2 separate regions of the Mus musculus genome follow, and region 1 is reported to be linked to region 2. The links are microRNA targets in miRTarBase. Many come from high-throughput screens and were not tested one by one. Region 2 holds a microRNA gene; the other region holds the end of a gene's coding sequence.

Region 1 (5,000 bases), not on the chromosome of region 2:
AGCCAGGCACCTTCACTAACACAATTTTTCAAATCTCCCAAGTCCTATATGCTGCTACAGTAGCCTATATACATTGGTGAGGAGTCTGGGGCTGCAGGAAGCTCAGTGAGTCAGGCAGGGTCTCATGCTTGCCTGCTGCACATTCTAATGCAGATCAAATCAACATAAAGTGGACACTGGGTCACAGGCCAGCTTTAGCTGTGGCGCAGGGAAAACGCTGAGATGGTGCAGGCTCAGTTTACTTTGCCTGGACAGGAACCTAGTGCCACAGGCTTCTGCTGCTTGTCCCCGACCCAAGCCGGGCTGCAGCACATTCACACCCAACATAAGCAGAGCGAGTGAGAAGGCAGTCAAGGCTCAGTTTCTGAGTTGTCTGCTGCTGTTAAGTCCAATTCTTAAACTCTGGATAAGGAATTTACTATAGTAAAACCAAACAACTGCAAAGGAAAACAGGGAAGGGCACTTGGGAATCTTTTCTCTGCTATTTAAAAAGTCTAAAGCTCGAAAGTTGCTGGCCAAAGGGAAATGAGGCTTGCTCAGGCTTAGTGGCTGCAGCTGCCTTTGGCCTGACACAGGACCAGGAGACTCTGCAAGTTCCTCTTTAGACACACCTCCCAACTCTGAATCCACTGATGCCAGAGCTTCTGTGACACAAAGTAGTCTTTAAAACATTTATTTTTGGTTTAAAAAACAAAAAACAAAACCCTAAAGTGAAAACAACTGTATGTTCTTCCCCAAGGATTTAGAGCTGAAATACCCACATCAGCCTAAACATGGTCACATTCTAAGTTTTAAAATACTACGTGAAAAAATTATTCAATTTTATATATTAACTATGCATATCCTGACTAATAAAAAATAAACAATTTTATTTTGATGCTAATTCTGTATTGGGCCCAAAGGAACAAAAAACACATTTTAATACACAACACACACACACACACACACACACACACACACACTTTCTTGGTTACTGAGATCACAATTAGAACACGAAAACAGTTAAATATCTAAGATACAAAATACCACATTCTTATCTCAGTTACTGATGACCTACACTTCCAGTCGTAACCTATAACTTTATTCCTTTTTATCTTTTAGTTCTTGCCAAAAATTATGCTTTATTTCTTGCAAAAATATTTAATAGTACTAATTTTTAGAGAAGCAGTATGTGATGCTAAAGACGGAGACTCTGTGGAGAGAGGAGCTACATTAAACAAGCAGAAACAGCAACACTGCTGTTTGAGTTCCTCCATTTTCTGATGACTATTTTGAAAGCAACAGCTGATCACAAATGAGAGGGAACAGCGGAGGCAGAATCACTTTGATTCCACTGGAATAAGATGAGGTGGCAGGGACCATGCTACTAATTCACCAAACTATACTGAGGAAGCTATCAAAGGTCAGCTGACAGCTGTGCCACTAAGGGTCCCCAACCAGTGAAGCTCAGTGTGTAGGAATGCAAAGAGCAAACTGTGGCTTAAACATTTCTCTGATTCCATGTGCATGGCATGACCCAATATGCAAGCCTATGTGTGTAAAACCTACACATAGGGAGAAGCAGAGGATTTTAACAACAGTCGGTGAAGAGTCAGTGCTCACAGTCTATGACGGGCAGAAGGGACAGAAGAGAAGCAAGGAAAAGAGAACTGAACACATTAACCAATTCGACACAGCAGACACTCACACAGCACTGTGCCTAGCAACAGCAGCATCCTCCCAGGTGCGCGCTGAGCGCCCTCTGCGACTGATGGGCTAGTAATGAAGCTTTGGTACAGTAAACAGGGTAAAAGGCACGAAAGCTCTCCACCTATTTCAACCAACCAACCAAGGTATCTGGAAGAATTTAAAACAAAATTGGAAATTTGTAACAGACTGGGAAAAAAAATCTATAAATACATAGGGTTTAAAGACTATAACTGCCAAATAATCAGTGTGTTGAAGAAATCACAGGGGGAAGAAGAAATCAGTAAATAGAAAGAAGTATGGCTAGAAGAGACAGAACTCAGAGGGAGACTTTTGGCTATAAGCACCTATACTTTAAAAAGAAGCCAAGCATGCAAAACCTGCCTACTGAGGATACTGAGTGTAAGGTTCACTGAGCTTATGAGTTCCAGTCCAGCCTGGCACATACAGACTGTTCCCAGATAAAACAACAACAAAACCCCCAAAATACCAAAAACTCCCCAAAGACCTCAGATCAATAACCTAATCTTTCACTTTAGAGAGGAAAACAGCCAGCTGTGTGTGGCAGGTGGTGCACATCTGTAGTGGAGCATTTGGAGGCGGCAGGTGTGGGTTCAGCCTGGTCAAGTTCACAGTGCCAGGACCACCAGAGCCATGAGAGAGGATGAGAGGTTGAGGGGTGAGCAAGTGAGCCCCAACAATTGCAGGAACCCTAACAAGTGCAGGAGCACACTAGAGAAACCCGAAACTTCCTAGGAAGAGGAGCCTGGACCATGTGGGTTCTCAGCATCTGAAGGACCATCGGCCCTTGTACTCTTCCTAACACAGAGGGCAGAGCTGGTGAGATCAGCGTTTACAACGATGCCAAAGCGGAGCAAAGAGCCAAGCTTATCTTACAAACTAAAGAAGTCGTCTGACAGTCCTAGCACACTGCAACGACACACTCTGTGAGTGAGATTACCCTAGGAATGTGAGGCTGGTTCAGAGCATGGAAAAAGTGTAATCACTGGGATTTGCCTTGGCTGCAACAGACCTTGAGAGAATTGTAGGTCTGAGGTCATTCTGAACTGCATTGCCAAATCCTGTCTCAAAAAAAAAAAATCAATATATACTATGTTAATATGGGACAAAATGCCACAAGATCAGTGTAATAGGTACAGGGAAACGTGACACCATCTAAAAGTTTCGGGGTAAAAGCATCTCGTAACCTACGGACAGATTACTTTCTCAAGTTGATGGAGAGTAAGAAAATCCTATAGCGACTTCCCACTCACTGCTGACCAACTGAATTCTCCCTTCTACCATGGAGATTGTAATAAAACATGGAAGTTAGTTTATATCTTTTATAGTCACTGTCTACCTAAGGATGAACAAGCAAGAAAGTAAAACAGACTATAAGGAGACATAAAAGACCCCTAGACTCAAATGACATGATCGTGTACATAGAAAATCCTAAAGAATTCTAAAGGTTAGTTAAATTCAGCAAACTTGCAAAAATAGCATACAAAAATAAACCATACTACTACAGAAATAAAGTATTACTACATGACACAACATAGATGATCCTTGAACACATTGTGGGCCAAGATGTAAAAGATTGCACATTGTAAGACTACATTCATTGGAAGTGCTCAGAATGGGTACAGAGAAACATGCGGCTTTACAGTCCCCAGGGCTGGCACGAGTGAGAAGTTCTGTTAGTGGGTGTGTGGTTTCCTTGTGGGGTGACGAACTGTTTTGCAATTAAGAGACCCGTGACAGTTACAATGCCGATGAAGACCCATAGAAACATGACAGTGCAGATACCTTAATGTAAAAGGCCAAGAATTGACTACTCTACAGTTTACAAATATTGACCATCCTTTAAGCATGCAATATGACAAAATAGCTCAACAGTTTCTTCAATAATATTTCATTTACACATGTTAAAATGGCTCTTGGCTAATTCTTTTGTGTTCATTTTTTAAAAATATGTAATATACACACTAAGTAAAAGGACTATCTTGGTTTGCAAGTCTTAACACCTCATTCCTTCATCCTACAATAAATTTATTGAGCACTTACTACATGCCAAGCACACTCCCAGGTATGGGAGACACAGTGGGGAGCAACACCTGCAAGTTATGGGTGTGAAGCTAACATCCCAGTGAAGACGCAAGGAGAGGTTGCCAGGTGAACAGGCATCCTTGAAAGGAAAACAGAGACAATCAGCTGAGCACTGAGGGAGCAGTGCCTGCCACACAGGATGTCCTTGCTCTGCCATATCAGTCAGCGCAGGAGTCCATGGTAAAGATGAGCAGCCACACTGCCCCTACCCTCTTATGGAGTCATGAGCACATTATACATGTGGTATCAAAATCAGCCTCTGAAACACACGCTGGCGAAGGATACTTAGCAACACGGTACTTTTATTTTATTATTTATTTATTTTAATACAAAGCTTTGGCATTAGCAATTTTATGAAAAAATAAAATGTACTAAAAATAAACGCTTGTGTGGCATGATTGGTAAATGATGCACAAAAATAGGTTCTTTTTTCCTTCAAGGCAATCAGTCAGAAAGCAGTGTTTTCCTTCTTCAAAACCATTCTACCCTAAGGAATAAAAGGGAAAACAGAGGTCATTAATCAGTTAAAGGGAGGTTGTCAGCATTCTAACACAACAGAGATGGATCCTAACTGCAGGACGCCCTGAGACTGCCCCGCCCAAGTACCTGTCTTGTCTGAGACAGTGGCTTCTCTCTCACTGGCGGTCAAGCCGCTCGCCCTCTCACAGTGCTTTAATATTCTCAGAGTGAACACGGGGAAAGATGGCTAACAGTGCCTTGTTTATCACATTGGGATAGTGTTATCCAAGCTGGCTTGCGGCTGCCTTTGTTGTGCATGCTCCTCTTATCACCCTGGACTACTATGGCTTATTTGGAAGAGCTAAAGAGCAGAGTTCAGGGATGTGTGCAGCTGTTTCAGACCTTGCTCAGATTCTGGGTGCATGGAGTGTGACCTTAGTGCCTCTCTAACAGGAGCTGAAAAGTGCCTGCAGTCCTTTGGGAAGTTTTCTGGTGCCCCAGGATCCTGTTTGTCCTTTGCGTCCCTGACACTATCTAGTTTCCTGGACCTTTGGTCTTGGCTTCTTCCCTAAGCAGGGTCTCCCTACCACCACATGTGCTTCATTTCTACTGTCCCAAATCTGATCTTTTCCTCTGTGCTGAGGATCCATGCTTCAAACCCCTGGACCTTTGACTATGCATCATCAAAGAAAACAGCCACCATGCAAAGCCTTGGGCACTCCCAGCGCTGCCCCTCCAGTGGAGGCACC
Region 2 (10,691 bases):
TGACCTATTTCTCCAACCCCTCTCCACCTTATTTCTAAAGGTTTCTCAGTGAATCTGGAGCTGGCTATTTGGTTAGACTGGCTAACCAACAAGCCCTCAAGATCTGTTTGTCTCCACCCCCAGTGCTAGGGTAACAGAAGTACCTGGCATTTTATTTTAGTGCTGGTGACCTGAACTCAGGTTCTTACAGTGGGATAGCAGACACTTTACCCACCGAGCCATCCCCAGTGCTCCCCTGGACTGTTCACAGACAAGTTGTAATACAGTAGGTTAAACCATATGCTAGCAACAGATCTTTACATGTCATCAGAGTAACTACCCACCATGTTTCTCTTCTTACAGCCTCCCTCTGGTCTGCTTCTCGAAGGTTCAATTCACAGAGCGCTTCATATCCACAAGGGTAAAAATATCAAAATGTGGGTTTGGTGATTTTTCCACTTATCTGTAAATGTTACCTTCCAGTTAAAAGGTCTCTACATTTGAGGCTGGGTGTGATGGCAGACTTGGTAGCATAAGTCTTTAATCCCAGCACTTAGGAGGCAGAGGCATATGAACAGCCAGAGCTACACAGAAAAACCTTGTCTTTAAAATAAAATAACAATTTTTCTATATAGCTCAGTGATAGCACGTTTGGCCAACATACTTGAGGCCTTGGGTTCCTCCTTCAGCATAAATGTGTACACATGCATGCATGCATACATAGAATTCTGTCCCAACAGAAGTAATGCATGTGTGTATTCACAGTGATGTAGAGGTAGCGTTAGTGTTGTGGGTTTTATGCCCCTCCATAGCAAGCTTGCACAGCCTCCTGGTGCTTGCACACGGCTGCTGTTGGGGAGTTGAGGCTGCCTTTCCTGGGCATGTGATGTGTGCTTATGAAACCGCTTTGCAGATATGTTCCTAAGACCTCCCTGAGCTCACCACCCTGGCAAGAAGTGGTTCTGCCGGACCCTGTTGAAGAGACGAGACACCATGCGGGTAAGACTTAACAGGAGCTGGGCAGGGAGGCCTTTGTAGCCCTAGCACTTGAGAGGCCTAGGCAGGGGGATTGCTGAGAGTTTGAGGCCAGCCTAGGCTACAAAGTGAGACTCTATCTCAAAAAAGTTAAAATAAAAAGGGAAATGAATGGGTAGCGCTGAGTGTCCATTCCCACAGGTCACTGAGGTACATTGCCACAGGGCAAGGCAGCAGGTTTCTGAGTGCTTGGAACCCCAGCACACGTGAGACCTCACATTCACTTTGGTTGGTAAACACCAACATTTATGATGAATCTTCTCTTGATAAACAGCTCTCCAGCATCTGCCACGAGGCAGTCAGGTGATGGGAGGGATAATGCATGCACCTCCATCTCCAGCTATGTTATGTATCAGTCCAACCCCGTCATCCCAGTACTCAATTGGGAGCACCACAAGTCATGTCCAGCCTGGGCTACATGTCAGGAAAAGGCAGCACAGCTGTTGCCAGCTAAAGAGTCATGTCTCAGCTTCCCAGAAGCTCGAAGTTCCCATCATTCCCGGGAATCCTCTGTTATTTTAGAATACTGTTTAAGCTCCTGTTCAGGCTAAGTATAGTCACTCCTGGAGGTCTGGGATCGGTTGGAGGGCTTGCCATAGCTATCAGAACCCACGAATGTGATGATGAGGGGTGGCAGTGGTGGTATGCAGGCTGTATGTATAGGCCCTGCGTGTCCTATCTGGACCACTTGCTGACTGTCAGTGCTCACTCACTGTGCAGGGCACCACCACAGGAGAGGTCTGCATGTTTGGTGCATCATCTGGAGCCTTCACTGGGATGCCAGGAGCTGCTTCTGGCCTTGGCCTTATCCAGAGCAGGAATTGTTATGTCTGTCCTGTGTGTCCAGCCCTTGGCCCAGGGGTGGGGTCTATGTGGACAAAATTGAGAGCTAAGGACTGTGACATGAGCCAGAGTAGTGGTAATGGGAACAGGGAACGGGTGTGGAAGGAGGGCAGGTGGGCCTGCCAGAGATGGAATGTGGAGAGAAGGTGGGTCCCGTGGGAACAGGGAAGGTGCTGGGGTGCAGGGTGGTCAGGAGGCCCTGCCAGCTCAGGGACACAGAATCAGGCTCCTCAGACTGCAGAAAGACCGTCCTCTCACTTCTTAGACTGCACACTTCTTGCCCTGGGATGTAGTCCAGGCTAGACTCACTGCCATCCCGCTTCAGCCTCCCAAATGCTGGGATTATGGGCATGCACCATCATGTTCTGCTTGTGCACTGGGTCTTAATTGATTTAAAAGGAAAAAAAAAAAAAAAGCAAACAGGATGAGGGTTCTGCTCCAGAACTGCAGAAGTAACACTTCCTGCCAGTGCTCCTGAGAGCCCCAGCCCAAGCCAGCACCTCCCTACTGGCTGGGTAAGCAGGGCTGGACAGACTGCAGGAGCAGTCCTCCCAAGGGAGCCTGGTGCCTGTGCAGTGATTGCCACCCACTGTCCTGCAGAGGTTGTGAAGAGGGTGAATGAGCTGATCGCCACGGGCCAGTATGGCCGGCTCTTTGCTGTCGTGCACTTTGCCAGCCACCAATGGAAGGTGACCGCAGAGGACCTGATTCTAATTGAAAATGAGTTGGATATCAAGTGTGGAGAGAGGATTCGGCTGGAGAAGGTGAGGTGCACGTTGTGTTGTGGACTCAGGGACTCTGGCACCTAGTGAGCATGGCTGAGGGTTTTCTCAGCTGTGCTGAAAAAAGGACTCACGGCCAGCGGGTGGGAGGCAGGGTTGGACTCTGCATAAGGCAGAGCAAAAGGAAGACTAGGACTAGAGGAAGACAGTGGAGCTGAGCTGTGTCTCCATATCCTCGATCACAGACATAAGCTGCCAGAGAGCTCGAAGGGAGATTTCTAGCAGCTGCTATTGTAGGGGAGGCTGGGAAGTCCCAGCAGCATAATACAGATGTGATAATACATAATACAGATGTGATAATACATAATACAGATGTGATAATACATAATACAGATGTGGGTGGTAGCACTGATGGCCGCCAAAGCAGTTTAGTCTGATTGTTTTTATTTGAGACAAGGTCTCCTGTATTGTACCCGAGGCTAGCCTCAGACTTGCCGTGAAGACCAGACTGCTCCTGATCCTCCAGCATCTACCTCTCCCGTGGGTAGTGGAGGTCGGAGAGCTTACAGAGGTCATTTCTCTCCCTCCACTGTGGGTCTTGAAGCTTTCTGTGTTTTCCATTTCCCATCCAGTCCCGGCATGTAGGCATCACCTGCTCCCTTGGTGAAGAGTCAGGGATTAAATATGCTATATTTTATCTTCTCAGGTCCTGCTGGTTGGGGCAGACAACTTCACACTCCTGGGCAAGCCACTCCTCCGGTAATAAGCTTCAAACCCTGGGCTTGGTCCAGGGCTGGGCTGGCTCACAGGCTAGACACGGTGTGGTCAGGCCCAATGGGGATTGTTCAACATCATTCTAAGAGTTAAATGCAGCCGGGCATGGTGGCACATGCCTTTAATCCCAGCACTTGGGAGGTAGAGAGAGGCGGATTTCTGAGTTCAAGGCCAGCCTGGTCTACAAAGTGAGTTCCAGGACAGCCAGGGTTGTTACACAGAGAAACCCTGTCTCAAAAAACAAAAAACAAAAACAAAAAAAAAAAGAGTTAAATGCAACACCTTTCTTACAATTCTGGAGGGTGTTTGGTGTCCCAGGAGACACCCAGCTAGGAGACTAGTCAGTCACTAATCCATTGTAATATATTTTTCTTCTCTTCTCTTCTCGTCTCGTCTCGTCTCTTCTTTCCTTTCTTCCTTTCTTTCTTTCTTTCTTTCTTTCTCTCTTTCTTTCTTTCTTTCTTTCTTTCTTTCTTTCTTTCTTTCTTTCTTTCTTCCTGCTTCTTGAGACAGGGTCTTTCTATGTAGCCCTGGCTGTCCTGGAATTTATTATGTAGACCAGGCTGGCCTTGAACTCACAGGAGACCCACCTGCCTCTGCCGCCTGGGGGCTGGGATTAAAGGCATGTCCCACCATAGCTGGCAGCCAGTGTAGTCTTAAGGGCTGGTGATTCCACTCAGAGATAGAGTGCCTACTTGTTAAGTTTGAGGCCCTGGGATTGTGTTCTCAACACTACAAAGTTAATTGAAAAAATTTTTTTTTCTTTGTTGGTTTTTTGTTTCTGTTTTGTTTTGGTTTTTGAGCCAGAGTTTAATTGTGTAGCCCAGGTTAGACTAGAACTCACAATGTGTACTAGGCTTACCTTGAATTTGTGGCCATCCTCCTGCCCCTACCTCCTAGATACTGGCATCAGTGGTCACTCCTGACTAAAAGATTTTTTAAATACTCTTCATTATGTTTTCTCACTGTTTTCAAAATGAATGACCCATATGTGGGGCACATAGCTATTGACCCTACACAGGAAGCAGAGGTAGGAGGGTCAGAGGTCAGTTTATTCCTTGGATGTAAAGAGAATTTAAGGTTGGTCTGGGCTGCATGAGACCCCACTGCAGAACCAGGAATTCTCTGGGGAGCTTCCGCAAGTTGTGCGTGAAACTGAAAGGCAATGAAGGAGGAGCACTGTCACAGTGTACTTTCTTTCCTGTCTTTCTAGAAAGGAGCTTGTACGAGTTGAAGCCACAGTCATTGAAAAGACAGAATCATGGCCCAAAATCAACATGAAATTTAGGAAAAGGAAAAACTTCAGGAAGAAAAAAAGTAAGTATGAGACAGTGTATTGGGGCCCTGTGCTCCCAGCACACCGTGGTTGTGCCCATGTTCCCTGCCAAGTAGCTGGGCAATGCCAGGGTGGTATTGTGCCAGCATTGTGCTGGATAAGGGCCCAGGATGACTCACACTGCCCCACTGCAACATGCAGGCCACATAGAGCTGTGAACCCAGCATGGCACCCACCTTGAGACACTGGGGGACAGCAGTGGCATATTAGATTGTCTTGGAAAACTGGAAGCAGCTCCCACATGTGCTGGGAATAGTTCACACTCTGCACAAGTCAGGCTGAGGTAGCAACAAGGCAGGCAGCCTCTGTTGTCAGCACATGTGTTTGTGCATATGACGTCACAGATAATTCAAAGGGAGACATGATTAGATGCTCAGGAACAGGTTCATGGCCTCTGCAGGAAGTGGGGGAGCCAGCTGTGCTCTTTGAAATCACTTGGTCAGACCAGGCAGTCCGCATCCTCCCTTCTGATGATGCTGCCTGCATTAGCCCTTTAGTAGGCCCCAGCAGTGTCATGGAAGTGCCAAATACAAATATCCTCTGAGTGGTCAGGCCGTGGCCAGCTGGCTGACTTTTAAGGAGGCTCATCAGGCTGGAACCTGAGGATGCTGAAAACGCCCTGGAGCCAGTGCAAGGAGAGAAGCTGGGGGAAGAGCCAGCTTAGGGGTATCTGGGGGTGAGGTCACAGTGCCTAGTACCCACAGGAGAAGGCTACAAGCTGGGCTTCAATGTCAGCTGGGAGGAGTGGGGTCATGAGGCTGCTGACCTGTGGACAGGGCAGGTGAAGTCTAAGGGTGACTTCTCAGGGCACTGCTTCCCTTTTCAGTGGTTGGTCTGGCTAGGCAAGAATCCCCTGTGGTGGTGGAAGCCATGGGTGGGCAGTGCCAGATGGTAAGTGTGGTGCCAAGGCTAGGTGGAGCATGGACGGTCGGAGGGAACACCAGTGTCCTTGCCCCTGAGTCGATCTCCCTTTCCTGAGGGAACACCTAATTACGAGGCCCTAATAGGTGTGGCCTGTTCCCTATTACCTGCTTTGTTCTGACATAGACATCTGACATCCTCAAAGCAGTAGGTGAGCCATGAACAGTGAGAGGGCCAGAGAATGCCAGTCAATCCCTGCAAAACAGAGGGGCCCTAGGGCAGGGTCCAGGACCACAAAATGGCTACAGAGCCTGACTCTGGGAGTGACATCGCAGCAGATAAGGCCAGGTCTAGTGCTCACACTGAGGAGGCTGAGGCAGGGTTCCCAGCCACCTGGACAGCAAAGCAAGATCCTGTCTCCAGCCAGGCCCAGGACGATTGGATGGCCTGGCAGGTGAAGACACCTGCTGACACCAGAACCCACAGAGTTGAAGGAAAGAACTAGTTTCTCCCGAGTTGTCCTCTGATAAGCACTTGCATGTGGACACACACAGACACACTGTGACAACTTGCATGCACACACAAAATAAATGCAAATTAAACAAATATTTTTAGTTGGCTCCCTCATATCCCCTCAAAAATAATAACAGCGGCAATTGTGAAGCAGTCCTGGACAGTGAGATGTAGTTTCACGTACCTACCCCAGTCAGTAGCCACAGTACCTAACCACAATCTGTGTTAAAGGGGAGCCTCCCCAATCCCTCACTCAGAGTGACTAGGCCCACCCCGCCTTGGAAGCCTTGGGGCCAGTGTGGTTGTGGGAGCAGACCCTGAACCTTAGGCCACTGAGGGTGGAGCCTATGCGGTGAGTGAGGCAGTCAGTCCACATCACAGAAACAGTAGGAAAAAGGGACCAGGCTGGCAGCCAGGCAGAATGCACTGACCTGAGCCCCGAGACTGCTGTCTGAAGGACATGAGACTGAGCCCGTGACAAGGTTCTCTCTTTCAGTCATTGTGAACCCTCAGACCATCCTCCGCATTAACACCATTGAGATTGCACCTCGTTTGCTGTGACTGCAGAGCCGATGTCTAAGAAGTTCTGAAATGTCTAATAAATTCACGTCTGTACTCAGGAAGCTGAGGCAGGAGGATCACAAGTTCCAGGCTAGGTTGGGCTACAAAGCAAGACCTTGTCTGACAATGAAAACAAATAAAGTATTTTTTAGGAGACTGAGCCTGTGACTTGCTGTTAAAGCCAGTTCGTGCTGCCTGGTAGGGTACATTAGCCGTCAGAATAAACATCACTCTGAGCCCTAGCAGCAAGCCTGCTGCTTGTACGGACTGGTGGTATTCCTGGCAGCTGTAGCAGGCAGAAAGGGGACCCACACCTGGGACAGAAGTGGGCAAGAGCTGGAGTGGGTTACCAGGACAGCTGCTGGGATTGGGCATGTGGTGACAGTGCACTTACTGCCCTAGCAAAGCCCTCAGAGGCTGAGTCAGAAGGATTCCCAAGTTCAAGGTCATCTTCACCTGCATAGTAAGCCCTGGGCTAACCTGAGCTCTCTGACCCTATCTCAGGATGAAGCAAGCTGCTCCAGGATGGAAAGCTGCAACTGGCCGGGAGATATCTGTGTGTCAGCTGCTTCCTTTAGCCTCCATGGTTCTATGACAGGGGTCACAGTACAGGGTCAGTGCTCCAGCAGCCCCCCAGGGGGTGGGGGGAGCACAGTGACAATAGGGCAGAGGGTGAGGCAGGAGTTCTGATCCTAGGAACGGTTTGGGGCTCAAGGGCTATGACCCTGTGAGTCAGGCCCACCTTGGGGGAAGACCACCAGGAAGGTCACACAGGCTCTAAGGATCAAGCCAGAAGCATGGAATCAGAGAGGAAGCACAGGCCATCCACAGGAACTGCCAGCCCTTTCCTGTGGCAGTAGCCTGTGACCAGTCATGTGACAGTTGTCCTACTTTTCCCTGCTGCCCCTAAGATGTGACCCTCACTTTCAAGTTTTTTGATTTTCAGGTTTTTTGAGATAGGGAGGTATCACTGTATTATTCCTCATAGCCCAGGGTGGCCTTGAACCTGAAGCAAACCCATCTCAACCTCAGTGCTGGGATTGCAAGTGTGTTCCACCACTTCCAGCTGCCCAACTCTGGAGGGCTTTTGGATTTGGGTGGGAGGCAGTTACCCAGCAGCCAGGTTCCCCTGCAGCTCCTTCTGTATGCAGTAGAGGGCAGCACCCCACTGGCCAGCTCTAGCCCTGTAGCCTAAAAGCAGGCTACTGGAGAGCAGGCCTCTTTCAAAGGCCCCAGCTGACTGTGACATGGCTCAGGTAGGAAGGTGGCAGACAGGCCTTGGGTGTGAAGTGCTCAACAACCCGCAACCTCTATCCAACCAATTAGTCTCTTCGTCTCTGTCTCCCTCTCCCCCTCCCCATGTCTCCCCCTCCCTCTCCCTCTCTCTCTGTTAGACACAGACCCCTCTGGGTATTTATGCCTCAGTGCATGCCAAAGAGAGCAATTCTCAGAAGTCGGGCCTACTTTGCACCTCGTTTAAGACAGTTTCTTCACCACTGCGTAAGCCAGGCCAGCTGACCACGGGGCTTGCAGAGACTCCTCTGTCTCTACCTCGCATCTCCTGTAGGTGTATTGGGATTGAACACGTGACTCATACATGAGTCTGGGGATCTGAACTCAGGTCTCCAGGCTTGTGCAGCAGTGCTTTACCCACGGAGCCACCCCCAACCCAACTTCTTGTATTATTTGTTGTTTGTCTGTGTGTATGTCTGCATAGGAGGACAGAGATGTTACGTATCTCCTAGAGCAGTTATGTCTGCCTGACATGGTACTGGGAATGAACTCCAGTCCTCTACAAGAACAATGTGTGCTCTTTCTTAACCAGCAAACCTTCTCTCCAACCCAGTGTCTAACAAATTTCTCTTGCGGTTCATAGCTCATGCTGGAATCCTGGACACCAACTCTCCCCCAACTTCCTGCTAGCTCAGCAGTGTCTCTGAGCCCATTGGTCTAGAATCTTTGACTGTGGCTTATATGTGTCTATACTTTCATTGTTTTGTGTTTAAGATGGTATGTGTCTCAGGCTGGCCTCAGAGTTAGTATGTAGCAGATAATGATCTAGACTGTCTGATCCTCCTGCCTCTGCTTCCAGACTGCTGGTATCACAGGTGCACATGCACACACTCACTTTGGCTTTATTCTTGTAGTGCTGGGGATGGAACCCAGAGTCACGTGTGCTAGGCAAGTGCTCTACCAACTCAGCTACATCCCCAGTACTATTTTTGTTTGTGGTTTTAAATTTTACTATTAGTGGATGTGTGTCCAAGATGGAACAGAAGTGTCTGAGTTCAAGTGGCAAGTCCCCATCTCACCAGCTTGTTTGTCTAAGATAACCTCTTACAGACTGGTGAGATGGTTCAGCAGGTAATGGCTTGCTGCCATGCCTGATAACCTGAGTTAACACATAGAACTGATGCCTGAAAATTGTCCTCTGACCTCCAAACAAAAGTTCAGTGTAATTTAAAGATTTAATTTACTTGTTGTAAAAGTAACTTGTATTTGCCTGTTGTAATTGTTGTCTTCATGGCTTTCTGTCTCCATCTGCTGACTTAGTCCTAGAATTTTCTTGACTCTATAATCTCACCGAGGCCTAGAGTGTTTTCAGCCTCTGAGACTTGCTGCTGAATAAGCTCATCCTTTCTAGTTCTTTCTGAACTCAGGCTGGTTCAACTCAGCTGCTCTGGCTCAAACGCGTCTCAAAGCTAACTGATTCAATCTGGCCTGTCTCGTTGGCTATTCTGTCAAATCTTTTTCTGATTCATCACTTTGTCTGCTACTCAATTAGAAGCCACTTTCAAACATGGGTGCTTCCTTCTACAAACTAACTTTACCTTCATTGTTTGGGATTAAAGGTGTGTGCTAAGGGCCTATGTACTTAATCCAGCCAGAGGGATTAAAGGTGTGAGCTAAGAACCGAGCCACACTATAACTGGAAACAGATTTTTCAGTAAATAACCCAATCGTGGGGTTCACAGTGTGATCATATATCCTGCAACACCTTATTTATTTGTATGTGTGAGTTTATCTGGACCATTTGTGTGCTGCTGTCTACAGAGACCGGAGAGGCCAATGAGTCCTCTGAGCCTAGAGTTATAGGAAGTTGTGAGTTGCCCTGTGAATGTAACACTGGCTGTCCTGGAAGTCATTCTGTAAACCAGTTTGGCCTTGAACTCACATAGATCTACCTGCCTCTGCCTCCCAAGTACTAGTATTAACGACGTAAGCCCCTGTCACCTGGCAAGAAATAAACGCTCTTAACTCCTTATCTGCTAAGCTCTCGCTAGGCAAATATAAATTTTTTTGAGCTAATCATTTGCTAATTTTATTTTTTTTTCACTTTTAATTTTAATTGGGTATTTATTTCATTTACATTTCCAATGCTATCCCAAAAGTCCCCCACACGCTCCCCCACCTACTCCCCTACCCACCCACTCCCACTTCTTGGCCCTGACATTCCCCTGTACTGAGGCATATAAAGTTTGCAAGACCAATGGGCCTCTCTTTCCACTGATGGCCGACAAGGCCATCTTCTGATTCATATGCAGCTAGAGACAGGAGCTCCAGGCGGGTATTGGTTAGTTCATATTGTTGTTCCACCTATAGGGTTGCAGATCCCTTCAGCTCCTTGGGTACTTTCTCTAGCTCCTCCATTGGGGGCCCTGTGATCCATCCAATAGCTGACTGTGAGCATCCACTTCTGTGTTTGCCAGGCCCCGGCATAGTCTCACAAGAGACAGCCATATCTGGGTCCTTTCAGCAAAATCTTGCTAGTGTATGCAATGGTGTCAGCATTTGGAAGCTGATTATGGGACGGATCTCCGGATATGGCAGTCTCTAGATGGTCAATCCTTTCGTCTCAGCTCCAAACTTTGTCTCTGTAACTCCTTCCATGGGTGTTTTGTTCCCAATTCTAAGGGGCAAAGTGTCCACACTTTGGTCTTCGTTCTTCTTGAGTTTCATGCGTTTAGCAAATTGTATCTTATATCTTGGGTATTCTAAATTTCTGGGCTAATATCCACTTATCAGTGAGTACATATTGTGCGAGTTCTTTTGTGATTGGGTTACTT

Evidence for each region. The annotated mature microRNA mmu-miR-6984-3p reads UACUUUCUUUCCUGUCUUUCU and lies in region 2 at 4,544-4,564, shown strand. An mRNA with a match to its seed (bases 2 to 7 or 8) in the 3' UTR can be bound and repressed. Matches are read on the target gene's strand: a 7mer-m8 pairs with bases 2 to 8, a 7mer-A1 pairs with bases 2 to 7 and ends in A, and an 8mer does both.
Region 1: miRTarBase lists Rnf130 as a target of mmu-miR-6984-3p. The part of its 3' UTR that is shown has no 7-base or 8-base seed match.

The regions. Positions count from the first base shown.
Region 1 is chr11:50,103,828-50,108,827 of GRCm38, reverse strand. Rnf130 (ring finger protein 130) reads right to left here. Exons shown (of 9, transcript NM_021540.4): 9 at 4,069-4,279. The coding sequence ends at 4,264. Among named protein-coding and RNA genes, the nearest start is that of Tbc1d9b, 25 kb to the left of the region's middle.
Region 2 is chr19:3,284,418-3,295,108 of GRCm38, forward strand. Mir6984 (microRNA 6984) reads left to right here and starts at 4,503; the gene lies at 4,503-4,566. Mrpl21 (mitochondrial ribosomal protein L21) reads left to right here. Exons shown (of 7, transcript NM_001347420.2): 2 at 343-400; 3 at 893-978; 4 at 2,458-2,621; 5 at 3,286-3,338; 6 at 4,567-4,670; 7 at 6,560-6,784. The coding sequence ends at 6,624.